Linked DNA regions of Arabidopsis thaliana. The protein of the gene in region 2 binds, or shares a complex with, the protein of the main gene of each other region. Each region holds a gene or a part of one and is shown on either strand. Other genes may lie near its edges.

Region 1 (4,079 bases), 9.3 Mb from region 2:
CAAGAAACCTAATTCGAATCAATACAAGTTGCAATTTTAGTCTAATCATTAGACTCTATGCCCAGAACGAACTTAAGCAAAACGGAAACGAGATATTGCAAATAAGGTCAAAAGTATTGAAGCTTTAGGTTTTACCAGCTATGGAGGCGCCTGTGGAGATTGATAGTGTACTCCCTGGTCACGACCTCTTCCTTTCTTCCCTTTCCTTTCTCCATTTTGCTTCGATCTCCCTGGTCTTCGAAATGGTGTTGGAGACGGCCACAGCAAGAGAACAGAATTAATTCATGTCTAAGAAACCCTAATATAAACCTTTCCGTATGCTATAAGTTGGGCCGTCTATGGGCCTGATGGGCTTTTGGATAAGTATAGAGCATGCTAAGATGGAATTCTCAAGTTGGTTTTTGATGGGATCTAATGAAAATGTCAACATTATAGTCCACAAGAACATCACATTTGATGCAACAAATCTAAACATTTATGTTTGCTATTTTGAGTCAATTTAGGCTTTCAAAAGTCATAATATATAAGGACTTGGTTGTTGATTACATTTGATTTGCTAATAAAATCTAGAATAGAGATTTTAAGAAAGTTCTTGATTCGATAAAAGGATCTAACAAAATGTAACACAAGCACACCAGAAACATCAAGCATAACAAGATAAACTTCTAACTCCTTTATAATAAGGATAATGAAAAAGGAGAATAGCATTATGGTTCAACTTCAAAGCAACAACTTAAATAAAACCTGTTCAACAAAATCTTTTACTTCAAAAAAAACAGATTGTGAAAGAAGAAGCTTAAGCTTGTCTGTTTCTTTGCTTGGCACCGGACTTGGCAACCCTGAGACCTTTGCTGATGGCGCTGAGTCTAGCAAGTGCAGCTTTCTTCAAGTCCGGCCTGTAGTAGTTGTCCACCACCTAAACATTTACACAATCATTTGGTTTAGATTGTATTCACGTATGAAACCAATAAACAGCAACATTAAGCAGATCAATGAAAATAGCCAAGTGTAAAATTAATATTTCATCAATATGCCACAAAAAGGAGCCTTATATGAAGTTAAATTTTAATCTTTGCACAGCTATGCATCATATCGTTTTACCATAACATATTAACTCTCCTCTCACAGGTAGAGGGAAGAACATAAAAACCAATTGTAGATCATAGCCGTGAAAATAACACACAAAACTAGATATAGAGACCTATAAGCACACCATAGACATATAAAAAACACTAAAGTAATAAAAATTGAGTAATACCTGGTTAGCAACAGCCTTTGACATCCTGGGGAATTCCTTCTTGAGGATAGACTTGTTGACAGAGAGCTTAGGCTTGTTCTGCTTCTTGGTCTTGGTGGTGGCGAGCACAACAGCTTGGTCCTTGTCAGCGGCCTGGATGGTCACAGTCTTTTTGTTTGCAAGACCTGAAACCACATCAAAAGATTCAAACTTTAGCCTAATTCAAGACAATAACAAAACCTAATACATAGTATGAAGTGTCTGCTCAACTCAGACTACCATTTTTGTCTTTAAATTAGAAGATACATACACAATTGTAATACAGATTCAAATGGTCAAATGTAAAGAAACTACATTTCACGGTCAACTTGCAACAGATAAGAAAATAAGCTTATACTCGAGAATCAATAAAATAGTGCATAAAGACGATCTCAAACAGCCAAGTTTCAACCACAATCATCTAATAGTCGAGAATCCACAATCTTTCATAGAACCAAAAGCACTTAACACATCAACATTTCTTAACAACTTTAGTTCCCAATCTATTCTACTAAATCAACCAACCAGAGATGTAAAGTAATCATTTGTTCTCAAATGGCCAAGATATCATTTCGTTCAGAAACAAAGAATCTCGTAAACAAGAGTACAAATTTACCAGAGTGCTTGTAAGAGTGAACGTTGGTGAGGTTGTTAGTCTCCTTGCTGAATTGAACCTTAGAGTTTCCTCTACCGAACTGCTTCACCAAGAAACAGTTGTTGTTCTTCACGATCTCCCAGATCAATTGTCCTGGAACTGTCGCCATTTCAAATACCTACCTTCACCACACCAAAAATGATACTACCAATCAACAACACATACATTAACAGATCGATTCCTAAAGGCTACTACTATAGAGCTCGCTGAATCAAAATATCTACACAAAATCAGATCATCTAAGCTACGAAAATCAAGACATACTGAACTGAGAACAATTGAGAGTAATACTAAGCTCACCGTGAAATTTCGCAGATAGAGATCGAGAGATTTTAATGGTGGCGCCGGAGCTTTGTTAGAAGACGAATGGAGCTATTTATATATGACCTCTGAAAAAAATAAAACCCTAGCTCATGTAAGTGAACGTGAAAAGTCTAAAATACCCCTAATGTTTTTCGAAATGTCGAAATACCCACAATTCTGAGAAACGTTGGAATAAACCCATTTCCTGCTGCTCTGTTGAACTTTAGGGGTTATCGATTCTTTTTGATTCGTTGTCATTCGATTATAGAATTTGTATTAGAAATCGGAATTTTCGATCAATGGGGAGGAGAATATTGAACGATGCATTGAGAACGATCGTGAATGCTGAGAAGCGAGGGAAAGCTTCGGTGGAGTTGAAACCTGTCTCTACCGTAATGTCTTCGTTTCTCAAAATCATGAAAGAGAAAGGTGAGATTTTTCACTTCTTCTTTCTTCTGGTCTAATTGGGTCTTAATTCATTTCCCTAATTTTTCATCTACTTGTTTAGATTTATCAGTTTCGTCGACATTGGTTTTAGTCACTTTTGCTTGTAGTGAAGTATGATTAATGATCCATAGTCTCTATTGTTTTGTTGGTCCTTGAGCTGATCCTAACACGTATAGCTCAAGAATTTCCATGTGTGATCACTCGATGTAAGAGATTGGTTACAACATGGTCCCAATGATTAAGCTTTGTTCTTGGTTAACTATGAAGTTGCAGAAGATTGAAAAGTTTCTGTTTTTTGATTCTTATGGATAAGTTACATCTTGATCTATGGTTGGAGAAAGTCATATCTGCTCCTGTTTAGTTTATGGTCTAACTTAAGTTTGTTTCGATCTTCGTCTGTGTTTTGTATGTTTTTAGTTAGGAATTTGAAGTAGTTCTTTTCAAAGTTGATAGTTTGTGACTGAAGTATAAAGATACCATTTCTATGCTCAAACCGCAGAATCAGCTAGTTTTTTGTCTATTACTTTACAAAATGTATGTTGATGTATTATGTATAGGGTACATCAAGAACTTCCAAGTCCATGATCCACACAGAGTTGGAAGAATAACTGTTGATCTACAAGGAAGGGTTAATGATTGCAAAGCTCTCACTTATAGGCAGGACGTTAAGGCAAATGAGATCGGGCAATACACAGAACGCACACTTCCAACGCGCCAGGTTCGGTTCTACACTAGTTCTGAATATGCAACTAATCGTAACTTAAACCTTCTTTAATTTGTTATATGCAGTGGGGTTATATAGTGATTACAACTCCCGATGGCATTTTGGATCATGAAGAAGCTATTAAACGGAATGTGGGTGGTCAGGTTCTTGGTTTCTTTCATTGAACTGCAATACGGAAAGAAACTCTGATGGAGGGACTTTGATATGTCAAACCCTGCCATAACATGTCATTTGTCTGGCTTTTTCGACATTGTTTGTTTGTTTGTTTGTTTTCTTGCACTGCAGTTTCAGCAAGATGGAGAATTAGAGAACAAAATTTATTTCTATTATGACAACATTTCGAATGGTATTATAAAATCTTTCTCTTCGCAAATAGTTATTTTCTATTCTGTTTATCCACACAAAAAAAAAAAAGACAAGGAAAACCAATCAAGACCAAGCAGAATCACACCACTACTTCAATCTGTATAACGTGTAAGAATATCAAATTCAGTCAGAGTAAAGAATGAGGGGAACTGTTTTCCGTGTGAAAGAATATATATATGAACAGAAGGACAAGATGAGCAGATTCAGCGTCGACTGGGAGCACGAAGCGCTCCGAGCCTTGCAAAGATATCGTCATATTCTGGGAGGTTGGGGTGAACATGACTAGCTCTCTCCCTCTCCCTGGATGG
Region 2 (3,570 bases):
GAAATAGCCTTGGTTCTTACGAGTCCGAGAACGGCATAGTAATCATCGGCGACATCACCGGTGGAAAGAGAAGAAGCATCCTCAGTTGCAACTCTCAATCTTCCGATTGAATCGGTTCGCCTCTTTCCTGCGTACCGAGGTAAGTACCAAGATGAAGAAGCACCGGTGGTCTTCGCCGAGAACCGCGGCGACGCACCTGATCTGGAGCTAAGAGCTGAGTTCTGGAACTTCAAAAGATCCGTACAAACAGGGGAAAGTATCTGCGCCATTGAAGAACTTCAAAAGATCCGACCCGATCCTGTTCCGATCGCTCAAATTAATTTCAATTTCATTCGTAGGAGAAGATGAACATTTATTTGAATTAATATTTTTATTATTTTTGTGAAGAATTTAAGGCGTACGAGGGAGAAATGCTGACGTGGCAAGATAAGAACCAGGGAAGCTTATTTGGAGGAATCCGAGATGAATCTAGCGGCGATCGGCGATCGGCGAAAGCGTGCTTAGCCGTCCGTGGCACGTGTCAGCTAGTGGATTTATATGTCTCCACACGCTTCAACTACCCGCCAAAATTTTCTTATCTTGCTTATCCTCACACGAAATTAGATACTTAAATAACTGAAACTAAAGCCAATAATGCATATAAAGTACAAAGATTAAGATTCAGACAAGTAAACAAAACTGAGACAGGGTTTTCTAAAACAGAAGAAAGAGTTAGGAGGAATTGTTTTAGCCAGTGATGTTCTGGGACTTGTTGAGAATGACTCCTTCGTATTTCACCTGGAACCATTTCATTGCATCGTCTTTAGTTACTCTGTGTTGGATACCAACACGAGCCTTGCACCTTCTGCGACGTGCTACACGGTAGCCAGGACGTTCTAGGACCACATAGAAGTCCATACCATAGATTCCAGTTGATGGATCGTACCTTTATAAGAAGTGAAACAAAGATCAATGAGTATCACCAAGAATGTGGTGAACCCCAAGTGTTATGACAGGATGATTTAAGGGGATTGACTTACTTGATACCCAAATCAATGTGTTCTTGAATACCAAAACCGAAGCAACCAGTGTCACTGAAGTTTCTTCTGAGAAGTTCGTATTCCTTGACTTTCAATCCACTTTCAAGTAGTTGCATTGCCTTCTCACCTCTGACGGTTACATAGCATGCGATCTTCTCGTTACGTCTGATACCAAAAGAACGAACAGTGTATCTAGCTGCAAAAGCCACACATAACAAGGGTTCTTGAAAATTGCAATGGAAGAAGCTAAACCAAATCATGTCTCTCAGAGCAAACCAAAAGCGATGCATATAAAACAGAGTGCACAACGCAACTATATCAGAAGCGGGGAAACGAACAGCTCCTAATTTGGACTGGTAGGCTTATCAAGTTATCACAAACCACCAGATAAGGGACTTACTGGATTCCAAAATCTCAAATTCATCATCAAACCATGCACCCATTCATAGACTTAACTAAACTATGTTTCCCAAATTCTTCTAGATTACTAAATCTATCAACCAGACTATTTGTAAGCTTTCAAATATGAGAAAAAATCTAACCTTTGGAGAAAACAGGAGTCTGACCACTCAATTGTTCCAAAACCTACCAAGTAACCACGAATCAATCGATTATAACCAAGTGACAACAAGAGTGAAAACCACAGAGAATGGGTAAAAAACAGGAGGAACCTTGGAGGCTCTGGTGAGACGATCTCCACTCTCACCAACGGAGATGTTGAGAACCAGCTTCTGCACTTTAATGTCCCTCATTGGGTTCGATAGCTTCTTCTCCGACGCCTGAATTTCAAAAGTAAGTAAATCTTCAAATCCCTATTCACATTACAAAATCATACAAATCCAAGAACTGAAACTTACCATTTGGAATTTGGGTTGCGAAATTATCACCGGCCGACGGGAAAGGAGAGACGGAGAACGAAACGACTATTTAAATGTTAGAAGCCCTAATCCTAAGTGTAAAGAACGGCGACTATTTAAATGACAGTTTTACCCTTAAAGGCCCACGCTTCTCTCACGTGACTTTCTTTCCCAAACAGACTACTTACCTTTTCTTCATCAGTCTTTCTGCTTTACTCTTTCCTCATGTGGAAATGGAGGAAATTGCTTATAATAAGTTGTTTCAGTTTCTTCGTCTCTTCTCTTAAACTTTCCAAAACCCTAGTATTCGATGTTTTCACTTTTGATCTCACGATTAAATTGGTATTGAAAGTGGAGAGCTTTCACGACTCTGTAGCAAGTAGCACTTTAGCAAGGTATGTTGTCTGCTCTGTTTCGTCTTTTTCATTTCTATGGTAATCAATGTGATTGAAGAGATACATGATAACTTTTGTATTAGACTTTGCATTGTATGAAAAAGAACAGACCTTTGAACTCATCAACTCTGTCTAGTTACTGTTTCTGAATCCAATTGCTGTGGTTTTAAGGTTTTGGTATCAATGAATGCTAAAGATGTAATCAGCCGTCTACCAGATGAGGTTCTTGGGCGTATTCTGTCTCTTATCTCCACAAAAGAAGCTGTTTCAACCTCAGTACTCTCTAAGAGGTGGAAGAACATGTTTGTTTTGGTTTCCAATCTTGATATTGATGATCGTCAATCTGTGCCTAAGACTAAGCAAAACCGGATTGAGATTCACAGAAATTACATGGCTTTCGTTGACAAATTGCTAGATACGCAACGTGGTTCTTCTATAAAGAAGCTCACTCTAAAGAGTCATGTTGGTGTTCGAGGTGGCACTGATTCATCTCGCATTCAAAGTTGGATTTGCAACGTTCTTGACCATGGTGTTATGGATCTTGATGTGTTCATTACTTTAAAAGGAAAATCTCCACCAGTGCCTGCAATGATCTTTAAGAGCAAGACATTGGTTAAGCTGAGAGTAGGACGTGGTTTTACAATCAAGCTTTCTCAAGATGTTTCTCTTCCTTTGCTTAGGACATTATGTCTTGACTCAGTTAATTTTGTTGGAGGTCATAATGTTGTTGGAACTCTTATATCTCGCTGTCCTGTTCTCGAAGAACTGGTTGTTGAGGAGCGGCGATGTGTAGATTGGACTTGTTCCGTGTCTTCTCCATCTCTAAAGAGACTACACATCCGATTTGATCGCAAGTTTACTAGTATTTCATTAGATGCTCCTAATCTTATCTACTACAAACACTCTGGTTATGTTTTGGGTAAGTATCCTAATGTTAAGTTGGATTCCCTCATCGAAGCTAGACTCAATCTTCGGATGGATGAAACAAGAATGGTGGGAGTAAGAAATGGATCTCTCGGTTCCATTCCCGCTGATATGAGAAATCTCATCAATGGAATCAGAAATGTTAGAATCCTTCACTTATCTAGCCACACTCTAGAGGTCAGCCTCCTCTATATATTGTTCTTTCCTTATAAATAACATTCTTCTTTTTTTTTGCTTATCGAGAATGAGATTCACTTGGGGCTTTTGATGATTTATTTCAACTTTTGTGTTATTGAGTGACAACAGACTAACACATTGTGTTTTGTTGAAGCTGCTTTATTTCTCATGTAAAGAAATGCCATTGTTCGACAGCCT

Evidence for each region. The genes of interacting proteins can lie anywhere in the genome.
Region 1: RPL16A (region 2) and AT2G19730 share a complex: the UniProt entries of both Arabidopsis thaliana proteins name them as parts of the large ribosomal subunit.

What each region holds. Positions count from the first base shown.
Region 1 is NC_003071.7:8,509,713-8,513,791, reverse strand, and holds AT2G19730 (Ribosomal L28e protein family), read right to left. Parts: upstream 2,307-4,079; 5' UTR 2,232-2,306; exon of another isoform or gene 2,201-2,231; intron 2,054-2,200; exon of another isoform or gene 2,050-2,053; 5' UTR 2,041-2,049; coding exon 1,893-2,040; intron 1,423-1,892; coding exon 1,259-1,422; intron 917-1,258; coding exon 797-916; 3' UTR 501-796; downstream 1-500. Other genes in the region: AT2G19740 (Ribosomal protein L31e family protein), read right to left, coding at 136-215; rps15ab (ribosomal protein S15A B), read left to right, coding at 2,534-2,663, 3,239-3,399, 3,471-3,569; AT2G19710 (Regulator of Vps4 activity in the MVB pathway protein), read right to left, coding at 3,975-4,079. UniProt on the Arabidopsis thaliana protein: Component of the large ribosomal subunit. Essential in leaf polarity establishment, probably having a role for translation in leaf dorsoventral patterning to specify leaf adaxial identity.
Region 2 is NC_003071.7:17,790,103-17,793,672, reverse strand, and holds RPL16A (ribosomal protein large subunit 16A), read right to left. Parts: upstream 1,982-3,570; 5' UTR 1,880-1,981; coding exon 1,877-1,879; intron 1,799-1,876; coding exon 1,691-1,798; intron 1,605-1,690; coding exon 1,562-1,604; intron 1,216-1,561; coding exon 1,020-1,215; intron 926-1,019; coding exon 727-925; 3' UTR 531-726; downstream 1-530. Other genes in the region: AT2G42750 (DNAJ heat shock N-terminal domain-containing protein), read right to left, coding at 21-269; AT2G42730 (F-box/FBD/LRR protein), read left to right, coding at 2,455-3,372, 3,527-3,570. UniProt on the Arabidopsis thaliana protein: Component of the ribosome, a large ribonucleoprotein complex responsible for the synthesis of proteins in the cell.